Schizosaccharomyces pombe: one gene and its partners. The protein of the gene in region 1 binds, or shares a complex with, the protein of each later gene. Each region holds a gene or a part of one and is shown in the gene's direction. Other genes may lie near its edges.

Region 1 (5,413 bases):
GTATCCGAATTTAAAGCTTGCTACACAAACTACAACTATGTTTTTTGAAGTCCTTTCTGATTCAGTGAATAGCCAGCTTCCTTTACAAGCTCTTACCTCTGGTGTGTCGAGTAAGAAGGACGGTAATTTTGATGATCTAGTCGAACGTCGTCAATATGGATCTCTGTCTTCAAATGCTGTACTTATGCCAATGCTTCTACCTTTGTGTGTTTTGACTTCTTCGTGTTTGCAAAATGGGGACGTCTGGCTTACTAAAGATATTCGAACTGGACTTTCACAGATATTCAATCGTTTAAGCTTCTTTTTGGAGAACACAAATCAAACAGCTCCCGACGACTCTGTTCTTGTACGCTGTTCTTCTAAAAGTATCGGCCTGCTATTCTTTTTCCCTCTTGTTAAGGTTTGTGGAGTTCCTCGTGATACTTTACAGTGGCTTTACTTTTCAAATCATTATCCTTTTAATGAGGAAGGTAAAGGTCCCCAAGTTGATGATTCTGACGCACTGATAACAATTGCGTTAGATTCTTTGTATGTGTTACTGAATATGCGAGCGAAAAGTACACCAAATAGCACATCTTTTTCTTCGCCTCCAACACCCCACAGATCTCCATTTAGCGGACAGGCTTTTACTGGAATGGGATTATCGAATTATTCACTAATGTCCTCATCTTCTTTTCCATCTGCTCAATCTTCTCCTACATCTCCTTTTTTATCTGGAACACCATCCATAGCTAATCAGTCATCTAGTATTGCAAGTCTGCAATTTGGGAGGATGGTGGATAGCCTCGTTGGACCTGTTCAACCTATACCTGCTCAAACTACCGGGTGCTCTGTTCATTCATTACAACAACGCACGTTTTCAAATGAGAGTCCTAGAGCTGTCGATTCTGGTTTTAGTAGGACTAGCACACCATTTAGTGAAAGTACTAGTTCTTATCCTTTAGTGTCTGGGAATCTCAGTTCTTGTGAGACACACTTGAACGGATCTCCGCAAAACGGACATTTACAAGGTGAACGTGTTTTATTCCGCCCATTGAGAAGCCCTGCTTTAAACACATTTTCTACGCCTGCTACGGAACCTCCGGAACATTTGGTTTTGTCTGAGCTATTAAAGAAAATGGTTAACATCAGCAATAATTAAACTGTATTGTTGATTGTAATGTTTCATTAAAAATTCTGAAGTTTGTTAGAAGCAGTCAATTAACTTTGCTGCCAACAACGAACAAATTTCTTGCTTTATTTCTCACGAAGTGAAATAACCCAAAATAATGTATCACGGATTTCTTTGTTTATACACTGTGCTTACGAATTAGAAATGGTTCTTCACTTGCCTAAAGAAAGGCTTTGACTTTTATATAAGTATGAATAGTCATCAAATGGCCTAAAGTGTACGGGTATTCACGACACTTAAATTAAAATATGGTCGATGGGAAAATAAAACGTTGTTTAGTTATCATAGCGCTGTTCTGGTTTGACCTAAACACAAGCAATTAAGGCGCTTCCCAATGTTACAATATATATCATAGAATGGGTTAATTGTTTACATAGGACTGCGTTGAATTCTTTAAATAGAATCTTTAGCCTCGAATTATGAAGTTATCTGACTTGTTGGATATCCTCAGCTTGCCAATTGATTGATAATAAGCATATGAGCTTGGACAGTGAATATTCAATATTTGGTTACTCAGTGCAATTTGTTTTGTGATTCTAAGCAGAAATGCTCTTTATAAACATTTACTGCACTATCTTGAGTTTCTAGAGCTTGTTCTGTATCCAAATTGTAATGACTGGCGATTCTCAAGTGCCAGATCTTATACCTCTTTTTATGTCTTTACCAGACGTTATCGTAATGCCTGGACACAAAACTAAAGTGTAAATTTGTCTTTCCTATGAAATGCTTGGTTTTTCATTAAAGTGTTACGAATTCGAAACATATATCTATGATTTTTGAGTATACACTGGCGGTATCTGTTGTTTAAGATAATTTAGTTTTGAGTTATTCGAGGCAATCAATTTCTTATCAAGTGTGATTCTCTTTTTAGAAAACCAAACTAAAAGTAAATCTATTGATCTTTTCAAGTATTAAGACAACTTGTTTTCTTTTGGATAAAATGCTTTTATTGTTGCATAATAGATTGATAAAGGTACGAAATGTATAAATGCATTATTTTATGTTGAGTACTTTACTCTTTCAGGATTGTGTTTGAGCTAAGCTTCTTGCATCTCTCATTCATCATCACACATCTATATTGAAAGGAAAGAAGGTAAAAAACGAACAAGAACAAAGTGAATACAAAAGAACGAATTGGATTAGTATTGTTATTGCATGAAAGTGATCTTATGACATGCATCACTATCCTATCCAAATAGTTTGTAGAGCCAGTTAGTAATAATACTTTCCAATAATTTGAATATGTGTGGCATGCCATTTGGCACGATTTTGAGAAATACAAAAATAAAATCATCTTGTAAAAGAAGAGCAATTAGCTGCTTTTTTATGTACCAGCTGAAGGAAAAACATTTGTTTTTCGACGTATAAAAAAAAACAGAAAGACATCAGCTTAAAGCTTTAAAGCTAACTTGTTTAAATAAGTTTGTAAGTTACAAGTACAATACTTTCTATTACACTTGGCACTCAAAATCGTGTGGCATATGATTATAACGATGCCTCGGATTTCCTTACTTGGCACTAGGTAATACGGTACACTAACCATGACAATACACTAGACAAACGCGAGCAATCTTCCAGCCCTAGTACCTAAGATCCATTGCAAAATTGTTTTGGTTGCGAGACTTACCTGTTTTATCCATAACCATTTGTTAAAACCTTCCTTTGAAGATTTGAGAAACAGGTATCATTTGTGGACATTGGTCTTTACAATTTCCTTGTTTCGTGATTATAAATATTTTTTCCCGGATTTGTGTTATTTACTATAATTTATTGGTAAATTATAACACAAGTGCTCATCTGCTTATAAAGCAAAAGGATTTTCACGAAAATTCCCTAGAAAGTAACCTGTTGTATTTTTGTCGCTTTTGGTTTCTCTTTGTCATTATACTTGTTTTAATTCATTTTTTAATTTTTAACAATGCTTGGGATAAGAAAAAATATCAGAATATCAGTTAACTTTCTGCAGCGAAGAACCATCACTGTAAAGCAAAAACTGGGCAAGAATAGGCCCCTACCAGGATGGGATCCAAATTCTGAGTATTTTCGTCCAGGACCCACCATGTTAAATCGCTTACAAGAACACTTGCATGATACCATTTTACCGGATGTATTAGCTGCTTCATATCGACATGACATAGATACAGCGTTAAGCACAGATGAACATACACAGAAAGACAGACTTCCAAGGTGGATTGGTGATAACCCTTATTATAAAAACCGGCCTCCTCAGAAAATGCGTGGTAATAAGCCTCTGTTACCAGTAAAGGAGTCCGTTAATCCTAAAAACCTTCCTTCTATTAGCAAAGTTGTCGTCAGCACTATGCATAAAGAAGCACTCGTTGACAAAACGCAGCTCTTGAGTACAATGATGGCATTTCGTTCTATAACGGGTTTGCAGCCCGAAATAGTCTATGCACGTAAGGACGTTTCTCCCTGGAAACTTCGTTCAGGTGTGCCAGTAGGTGTAAAGGTTACTCTAACTGGAGAATCTATGTATACATTTCTTTCAATCTTATCTGAGTTGGTTCTTCCTCAGCTTCATGATTTCAAGGGCCTGAGTCCTACAAGCGGAGATCAAACAGGAAACATATCTTTTGGTTTACCAAGTGAAGTCATGCCTTTATTTCCCCAAATTGAAGCTGTTTATGAGATGTATCCGCACTCTTTACCTGGATTTAACGTAAATATAACAACCAATTCCAAAGATACCCGTTTGGCTCGTTTTTTCGTCAGCAGTCTTATTCCATTTACAGATGGAAATAAGGAAGGCTATGTTGGATAGTAGACAATTTATTTTATATCTACTATACCTAATCTTTTCTCCTCAAGGAGTGAACAAAAAATCCCCTTCTCTACGACTAATGCATACATACGTTTTTGAGTTTTACTTGTTTAAGTGATAGAATTCCCGTAGATATGTGTTATTATATATTTATGTTATCGTTTTCACAAAGTAAATAAAAATAAAAAGTTTTTTCTTGAAAAGGAATAATCAATGGATATTTTTTAAACAAACTGAACATGTAAAATAGTATTTTTTTAGTAACTAAACTCATAATGGTATTTATCAAGGACATTCACAAAATCATTAAAAACATGAATATTGTAGAAAAATATAGCAACTTAAATCATACGGTTTATAGGTTAAATAAATTCATTAGTTCTAAATGGCATAAATGCAATGATAATGATGCAAAAAAACATAAAAAAGATAGATCGTAAAATAATGTTTCTGTTTTCATCATAACTTAGCCGGCTTATGAAACGAACGGGTGGCTCAACAACTCTGATGCTGTAGGTCTAAGATTACAATCTATGGCAAACGTTTTCTCAAGGAAATCTATGGCCGATGAAGAAATGTTAGAAGGGAATTCCGGCAGAATGTTCTCCCCAATTCTGAAAATGGCCTGCATTTGATCACAATTCGGATAAGGGTGCTTACTAGTGAGCATCTCGATTACCAAACATCCCAAAGACCAAATATCTGTTTTCTCCGTATGCATAGTTTGCTTCACCACTTCGGGAGCCATCCAAAAAGAAGAGCCTTGAAAAGAAGGGCGAGCACCACCCGTCTTCGTAGAGGTACTATTTAGTTCAAGTTTCTTCGATATCCCAAAGTCCGAAATTTTAATCTTCCCTTTATTATCAACCAAGATGTTCGCACCTTTTATATCACGGTGTACAATGCCGCGTGAATGAAGGTATTCTAAGCCTTTAAGGGTTTGCTTAATAAAGTTCTTGACTAGCGTTTCCTCAAAGCTTCCATACATTGTAAGCAATCCGGCAACCGACCCCCCAGGAACATATTCCAAAAAAATGTTCAAGTGGTCCGAATTTAAGTTAGAACCGAGATATTGGACAATATGCTCATGAGACAACTCCTGTAGAAGAGCAATTTCACCCGCTAATGCATCTAAAAGTTTGGCATGGCGGTCTTTTGATTCAGAAACAGAATCTAAGATCACTTGCTTAACAGCCATCAACTCACCACTAGATGCATTCATACCGAGATAAACTTGTCCAAACGATCCTGAACCTATTAACGCACCACGTATCCATTTGATAGACTGATCATCAGTGTCCTCTTCAAGTGTATTTGTGTCCTCACTTGTAGTGGAAGTTGGAGAAATTGGGGATGGTTGCTCAATAAATGATGGGGATGAACCAGGTGAAAAGGAAAGTACTTGATGGTTGCCATGCGCGCTTTCTGAAAAAACATTATACTTCGACGATTTTTCATTT
Region 2 (4,138 bases), 2.6 Mb from region 1:
AAGAAGATAAAGAACCGCTTTTCGATTCTTCCAAAACTGTTTTGGATTCCATTCAAATTCTAACCGGAGTTCTTTCTACTTTAACTGTAAATCCAGAAAATATTGCTAAGAGCTTGACTGCGGACATGCTAGCGACTGATTTGGCAGAATACCTTGTGCGTAAAGGTGTTCCCTTTCGTGAAACTCATCATATTTCCGGGTCCGCTGTCCGAATGGCCGAGGAAAGAAACACTACCATTGATAAGCTAAGTGTTGAAGATTTTAAATCGCTACACCCATTATATGAAGAAGATGTTGCAGATGTTTTCAACTATGAATCCAGTGTGGAGAAGCGTTGTGCGATTGGTGGTACCGCTAAGAGTTGTGTATTAGAACAAATCCAAACCATTAAAAAGGCCTTGGAGTAGATAAGTTTACATGAAATGATATGGATATACTTACTTTTTCTATATGTTCGTTTGATCATTTAACAGGGCTTCCTCAACATAATTCCCCGAATCGAGGTTTTTTGGTGTAAAACGGGCAAATAAATAATTGTAGCCTCATAATAATATTTTAAAAACACGTAACTTAAATCTTAAATCGTAAATATTCATACTGAATGAAGTAGTACTTTTAACCTTTCGTCTTTCTCCTTTTAACATTATCATCATCGTCAGATTCCCCTAACTCGTGAATATCTGCTGTATCGTCTTTTGATAATACAAGCCCGAAACCTGCATCAACAATTTGTCCGTCTTTTCCTTTCTTTCGCTCTTCTTCTTCTTTGCGTTCCTGAACTTTGGCAAGTCGATGAATTTGAGACATAAAATTCGTAGGTTTAAGATCGCTATATTGATTTGTATCAAAGACTTTCTTATGATAAGGCGCATCCAATTCATGATGACCTTTAAGCTGAAAAGCATCCTTCGCCTTCAACTCAGCAGGCTCTTTATCATTTTCATGAAAAGGATCATATTCTCCAACCTCCTCGAAAATATCGAGCTTCAAATCAACTGGTGGAAGTGGTATATCATGCTTAACAAAGCTTTTCCCTAAGCTATTAGCGTTCACGTTTAATTTCTCGGTTCTATGTTCATTTTCTAAACGTTCATTATCATTTTTTAACTTTTTTTCCTTCTTCACAAGCCGTTTTAGGATTTCACCATTTTCATCAAGCAAATATTTAACTTTTTTTCCATTTTCCAAAATTTTACGATATTTCGGTTGTCCATTAGGATAAAGAGGTATCTTCTTTTTTTCTTCTAGAATAGAAACAGATTCAGGATGTGATGACTCCTCAGCAACTTTCTCTAAAAGCTTGTCTGCTTCTTCGTCAACTTCTTTCTCACTCGAAGAAAGCAGAGAATCATCCAAGGCTAGCTCATTAGAGCGAACTTTTTCAAGCAATTTTCGATCAAGACCACGCACGAGATGAGTTGTATTCAAATCTCCGCCTAATTCTTTAGATTTTTCTGAATATTCTTTTGTCGTAATTTGGCCATTGCGAAGTTTCTCGTGCAATTTGTGCAACTCAATATCCTGTTTGGAAGAAGGCTCTTCATAAAATTGAGTATCTTTCCCTGAATTTTTTGCATTAGAATGTCTCGTAATGTCTGACGATGTAGAATGACTTAGTTGTTTTCTTTTAATTAGGGCTCTGGGTGCTTCCAATTTGGCCGTCTTATGTTTACGACCAAAAACAAGTCGCTGACTTTTATTCGATGAGAAATTTTTTAACTGGGAGGTTTCGGCTTTTGGAGTAGCTAAAAGCTTTCTGAAATCATCTTGGTTCATTGTGACAAATTTTCAACCAAAACTTCAGTATCCTTTCAATTAATTGTTTCTTTGGAATAACTTTGTAGTAGTTGTTTATATACACTTAACAGTAAAACACAAAATAAATTGTAAATTATTGAAACAGTTTGATAACATTAGCATACCTTGACGTTCGTACACTGTGATCTCAAGCGTAGTGCGCTATTTTACTACTTCGTAATCGGCCAATGTTTTTTAAAAACAACCTATATTCTAGTTGCAGAAAACAGATATCTTTTCTTTCGAAAAGTTGATTTTCCATACAAGGGTTTGAGGAACTTGAAGCTCTTTCTAAGATTTTATGCCATCCGTATGTTAACAAGACATTGTAATCGTTTAGGACTTCAAATTGAAAATAAATTTGTGTTCAGATCATCATCATGGAATTGTGTCCGTCGAATTGGGAAAATTGCGTGTAATGAAAATAAGTACAGATATGAAATGACATCTACAGAAGAAGACATTGACAGCTTTTTCAGTCGTGTTTTTGGTGAAAAAAATTACATCTCAGACAAATCTCTAAGAGAACAAATTGTAACTCATAAATCTTATAAACATGGGCTGAAAAGATATAATGAACCTTTCGTTTCGGTTGGAAATGCAGTTATCGATGTTTGCTTACTTAATCATTATTTGGAATCAGGAAACTTTAGCACAATACCTTCATACAAGGATTTAGTAAATCTTCGTTCCCCTGCTCGACTCGCTGAAGTTGCAAAAAAATGGAATCCTGAAACTGCCACACAATGTATTTTGCCATTAAAAGGGCCTAATTCTCCATCTTCGTCTAGTTTTGAAAAGATATACAGTAGTATTGTTTCCGGACTTGTTGCTGTCGTTTACTTCCAAAAAGGCGGAGTTGAGGCTATGAATTTTTGTAAGAAAAGCATCATATCAGATTTGACAAAAGATTTCGTGAGACCTAATACCGTGCATAATCAATAAGATGTGTAGCAGCAGGATAAAATTCTTTATGCAAAGGATGCCATAATATAGTACATTTTGCCATACGCTTATTATTACTATCGATTTATTTAACGCCTCTTTCATTCAGTCAGTAGTTAATAATATATTTCATATTTATCAACATTTGTATAATATAAGCTGCATCCCAAAATCTTATTGATCGAGTTGTAAGTCATTGGCATCCATTCACAAACTACGTTTTTTAAGCTCCCTTATCTTTTTCAGCATATCTGCTAAACACTGTTTTGAAACCAAACCGTCACGCATATTCTCCTCGTATATTAGATAATGGATATTTCGTGCCCATTGGTAGAGTCTACGACCTTGTTGCAGCTGGCGTCTGACTTGTCCGATGGTAGAAGGAAAAATTGCAAAAGGGATATTTAATTGGACCAAAACTGTTTTCAACATGTTGGCTGTTTCAACACTACACTGTTGATCTATATGCTGAAGGCCTAGCCGATAATAAAGTTGTTTTTCCTTAGCCAGATTAAATCTAGAATCAGGCATATTTAAGGAAGTAAGAGGCTGTGAGGTATGGAAAGTAGGGATGGTAGATGAAGCAGGTGTTGAGTAGCTTTTGTTCTTTTCGATCATTAACTCACTTTCATCTGACAATTTTGCATCAAGATTATTGGTATTAATAACATTTCTTATATCATTTTTTGCAGGGGCTGTAGACCCGTCATTCAGCATAGTATTCTCCTTATTATTTCCTTTGTCAGTAGTCTTTGTGGTTATTGCATTTTTTGAGCTTTCATTTGATTCTTGATCTCCATTTTGAGAAGTATGCCGAAGAATTTGTATCTCTTTACGGGCTTGGGTAAGTTCCTTACGCAAGTGCTCAAATTGCAAAAGAATAGCATCAAGTGTTGATAGCTGAACTCGTATTTCACTTGGAACCGCAATTTGAGATTTTTCATTATACCTTCCGTTGCCTTTAAGGTTAAAATCATTGCTAATAGTAGCAGATCGTACCTGCTTCGTATCAGGTTTTTGCTCTTTAAAGTCTTTTGTGCTTTTAGGGAATCGTTTTGGAGGACAAAGTGGAGTAGAAACAGTTGTTGACATTGTTGTGGGACAATAATCCTGCTGATTCATAAGCAATTGCTTGGTTATATTTTCAATCTGTTTATCTCTTTGTTGGCATTGATTTGATAAGGATTGTATTGTGGCATTCATCTCCAAAACAATATTAACAAAAGAAGGAGGTAAATCGGTAATGGCTTGTTTAAAAGGATCGATGTCTTGATCATTCGACGACATCTGTTTATTATTAGAAAGATTTTCCTGAGCCTTTTGACAATCCGTAGATTGGATAGGTTGACTAATAGAAGAAACACATGTAGATGAAGTAAGAGGATAGCCAGAAGGC
Region 3 (3,862 bases), 2.2 Mb from region 1:
AGCTGTTGCGACTCCTCAAAAAGTGGAAGCACCAAGTGCCCCTCGACTTCAAAAGCGTGCACCTCGACAACAATCCAATGATTCTGCTGTATTGGCAAAGTTACAGTCTATATGCAATCCCAAAAATCCAACACTTTTATATCGAAATTTTGTTAAAATTGGTCAAGGTGCTTCTGGTGATGTGTATTCTGCTCGCCAAGTCGGCACTAATCTTTCTGTTGCCATCAAGAAAATGAACATTAATCAACAGCCAAAAAAGGAATTTATTGTCAATGAAATACTCGTGATGAAGTCACATCATCACAAAAACATTGTCAATTTTATTGACACTTTCTTCTATAAATCAGAGTTGTGGATGGTAATGGAATACATGCGCGGTGGCAGTCTTACTGAAGTGGTTACCAATAACACTCTTTCAGAAGGTCAGATAGCTGCAATATGTAAGGAAACGTTGGAAGGCTTACAGCATCTCCATGAAAATGGCATTGTTCACCGTGACATAAAATCAGACAATATCCTTCTCTCACTTCAAGGAGATATTAAACTTACCGATTTTGGGTTTTGTGCTCAGATCGACAGTAACATGACGAAACGAACGACGATGGTTGGTACTCCATATTGGATGGCTCCAGAAGTCGTTACTAGAAAGGAATATGGTTTCAAAGTTGATGTCTGGAGTCTTGGTATTATGGCTATAGAGATGGTAGAGGGAGAGCCCCCGTATTTAAACGAAAATCCTTTACGTGCTCTATATTTAATTGCTACTATTGGTACTCCAAAGATTAGTCGGCCAGAATTGTTAAGTTCTGTTTTCCATGATTTTCTTTCTAAATCTTTAACTGTTAATCCTAAGCAACGCCCTAGCTCCGGTGAGCTTTTAAGGCATCCGTTTCTTAAGCAAGCCGTTCCAGTTTCATCCCTTATCCCTTTGATAAAATCCATACATCATTCTGGTAAATAGGCTAACTTGTCAAAAAAGTTTTTGAGTAAACATCTGCTGTTAGAAGTTTCGGAATATCCTCCAACGTTTGCTTAAAAACTGTTTCTTCTCACATTGTTTATTTATCGTTAATATGCTTTTGCAGTTCGTTAGAATATATGTACCTGAGTTTATTTTTTTGCCTCCTCCACTAAAATCCATATCCGCAGGTTGGGCAGATTCAAACAGAGTACATTTTAACTACTTTTTTGCTTTACTTTAATTCCTTTTTCTAGTGCATACTTTACTTATCTGTTCCTTTTTTTTTGTTTTTTTCTTACTGCCAAGAATGATCTCAGTGACACTTGGATAATTTTTATAATAAATGAGACAATGCTTCTTTCTAAAAGTCTCAACTTTTTAATATTCGCAATGCATTATAAAAAAACTAAAAGGAAGACTAACTTATCAAAGTATTCAAAATGTAAGTACATGATTCTGAGATTGATCTTGAATCAGTCAAAATAGGTTTGAATCTTTTAAAGCGATGTTTCAATTTCAATTATGTGGAATCTCAAAGTGAAACGCCTGCTGGAATATTTCACAAAATTTTTGATCTACTAAAATTAGTACAAATACGTAGAAAACTTCAAATAATTAAATGGACTATGATTGTAGCGTAGTTCATGAGCTTAAGAAAATTGTCAACATTAAACTGCGAGACTTAATAAAGAGAGAGCGCACTTAGCATTTAAATGTCAAGCCAAAGCAATAGTGAATTTGAGGAGTCTCGTTATACATGGGTTATTACTACTCAACAGCAGACTATAGATTTAGGCAGCAGCCTACTTCTTAAGCATTGTCTCGAAACCAAAGTAACTGGTCTTTAAGTTTCCTTTTGACGACTTCCAATTATTTCAAACTCTTTTCTCGGAGATCGTAAATCTATCTGTGATTGGGTCTACTGGTTTTAGAAAACGGCTATATGCATCGTTTTATAACTATATAATTAAGATCAAGTTCTGCAGTAACTAAGTTCGCCTTACCTTGAGAAAACTTTTAAAATATTGTTCAGCATTACTGTACCCAACAATATTCTACTGTTCGCGCTTGGGTCGAAAATGGCTCTTTTAAGAGGAAATTCTTTGGCAATTAGCCAAAAAATGTTATCAGTTTTTCAAGCTAGCGCCCTTCCTCATATTTCTTTGAGGATATTTATTTCCCCCCCTTCAATAGCTAATATATGGAATTCCATTTTGCTTGCTGTTCCAAAGAAAAAAACTTCTTATACTAAGAAACGAAGTCGCTTACTGTCCGGAAAAGCATTAAAAGACAAAACAGTTAATCGTTGTCCTATTTGCGGGTCTTTTAAATTGGCACATCATTTATGTTCTCACTGTTTTAGAAATATTCGTCGAGAATTTAACGAATGAAGGGCATTAAGCATTTCTTCACTGATTTAGTGATGCTGCAAATCTTTATTTTAAGAAAAAAAATGGACTTAACATTAAATATAAGGTTGTTTCATGTAATAGTATTGCAGTTAGTGAATTGAATCTGCTCGCACTACTTAAATTTTTTCAGTATTACGATTAATGAACTACACCCTTTTTAAAAATACGCGTATAACAAAGAATTTTTTTACTTAATTTTATTTGTTGACTATGTACGGTTGAGTATAAATATCATATATTATGCAAAAGAATTTAGAGTGAAAAAATAACAAAAAAGCTGAATATATCTCTTAGCTTTCATCCTTTTTCAATACACGTTTATGTTGTAAGCGTGTAAATAATATTAAATGCATCGAAAACACAAAAGAGACTATAATCTCATGTAAAGTATACATAAACGATAACAATAAGAAAAAACCAAGCTAGTTTTTCGCCCTCCATAAACCGGAATCAATTCGTTCTCGGCGTTGAGGATCATAACGATTAGCGTTCATTGAATTACGAAAAGAGCGACGAGCCACTTGAATTGTCTTGCTACCTGGAAGACAAACAGTTACACGCAGTGGATGAGTAGGATGAATTCGAAGGGGTTGTTTGGAAGATGAGCGGTATATAGGAACCTTCTCCTCTAATGGTTTCATTTCCTCTAATTTTAATGATTTAGTAGGAAGAAACCGCTCCGGGTTCACTTTAGGCAAATGTAAATTCAAAATAACATCGCCCTTCGATCGCTGAATTCGAACAGAATTTGCATGACTAAGTATCAATCTCGATGATTTTAAAGAGCTCGTTTCCGAGGATACTACATAACTACTACTTCTGGTATCACGACCTTTGGAGTGGCTGTAAGAAGAGGATGAAGAAACAGGTTGACCGAGAGCATTAGAATTGCCAATGCGTGAAACTCCTCCATGTTCGTTGGGGACACGATGGGGTAAATGAGCATTTGCGGCCACCCCACTTTGATAGGATCTCTGTTTATATAAGTTATTGTCAAAAATGACATCCTTTATACTTAAAATAACTTCATCAATACTCCGAGACTTTCCATGTTTCGGGGAAGAAGTACTATCATCAGATTGGGGATTCAACTGTAAAGGATCATTTTTATCCGACGTAAATAAAGGCGAGACTTGAACAGGAGGAATTGGATGACTATGACTTCTCCATGAAAGCGGAGTAGAATCATCTCTGGGGCTAGAAGGATCAATTTCTGTTGTCTCTTGGTTACTATGTAGTCCTTCGGGACTATTGGTAATAGACTGAGGCTCTTTAGTGTATATTGCTTCAACTTTTTTGCTAGACTCGACATTGGAAGACCGCTCATTAGTAATAGTGGGTGAGGAATTCATCTTTGATGATGATATCTTTATTTCTTCAGCTTTTTTACGGGCTCGTTCTCGTGATCGAGCAAGTTCTTCTTCTTCATTCCTCCGCCTTTCAATTGCTTTCTGGCGAGCTTCGAGCATAATTTGCTGTTGCTCTGCGC

Evidence for each region.
Region 2: mrpl7 (region 1) and mrpl15 share a complex: the UniProt entries of both Schizosaccharomyces pombe proteins name them as parts of the mitochondrial large ribosomal subunit.
Region 3: mrpl7 (region 1) and mrpl32 share a complex: the UniProt entries of both Schizosaccharomyces pombe proteins name them as parts of the mitochondrial large ribosomal subunit.

The regions. Positions count from the first base shown.
Region 1 is NC_003423.3:1,735,889-1,741,301, forward strand, and holds mrpl7 (mitochondrial 54S ribosomal protein uL5m), read left to right. Parts: upstream 1-2,753; 5' UTR 2,754-3,089; coding exon 3,090-3,953; 3' UTR 3,954-4,209; downstream 4,210-5,413. Other genes in the region: ebs1 (EST1 family protein), read left to right, coding at 1-1,141; MAP kinase kinase kinase Byr2, read right to left, coding at 4,429-5,413. UniProt on the Schizosaccharomyces pombe protein: Component of the mitochondrial ribosome (mitoribosome), a dedicated translation machinery responsible for the synthesis of mitochondrial genome-encoded proteins, including at least some of the essential transmembrane subunits of the mitochondrial respiratory chain.
Region 2 is NC_003423.3:4,361,654-4,365,791, reverse strand, and holds mrpl15 (mitochondrial 54S ribosomal protein mL57), read left to right. Parts: upstream 1-2,000; 5' UTR 2,001-2,109; coding exon 2,110-2,742; 3' UTR 2,743-2,910; downstream 2,911-4,138. Other genes in the region: arg41 (argininosuccinate lyase), read left to right, coding at 1-407; SPOM_SPBC1539.02 (uncharacterized protein), read right to left, coding at 616-1,776; SIN component scaffold protein Sid4, read right to left, coding at 2,950-4,138. UniProt on the Schizosaccharomyces pombe protein: Component of the mitochondrial ribosome (mitoribosome), a dedicated translation machinery responsible for the synthesis of mitochondrial genome-encoded proteins, including at least some of the essential transmembrane subunits of the mitochondrial respiratory chain.
Region 3 is NC_003423.3:3,906,098-3,909,959, forward strand, and holds mrpl32 (mitochondrial 54S ribosomal protein bL32m), read left to right. Parts: upstream 1-1,754; 5' UTR 1,755-2,040; coding exon 2,041-2,352; 3' UTR 2,353-2,634; downstream 2,635-3,862. Other genes in the region: PAK-like kinase Shk1, read left to right, coding at 1-961; SPOM_SPBC1604.12 (uncharacterized protein), read right to left, coding at 2,796-3,862. UniProt on the Schizosaccharomyces pombe protein: Component of the mitochondrial ribosome (mitoribosome), a dedicated translation machinery responsible for the synthesis of mitochondrial genome-encoded proteins, including at least some of the essential transmembrane subunits of the mitochondrial respiratory chain.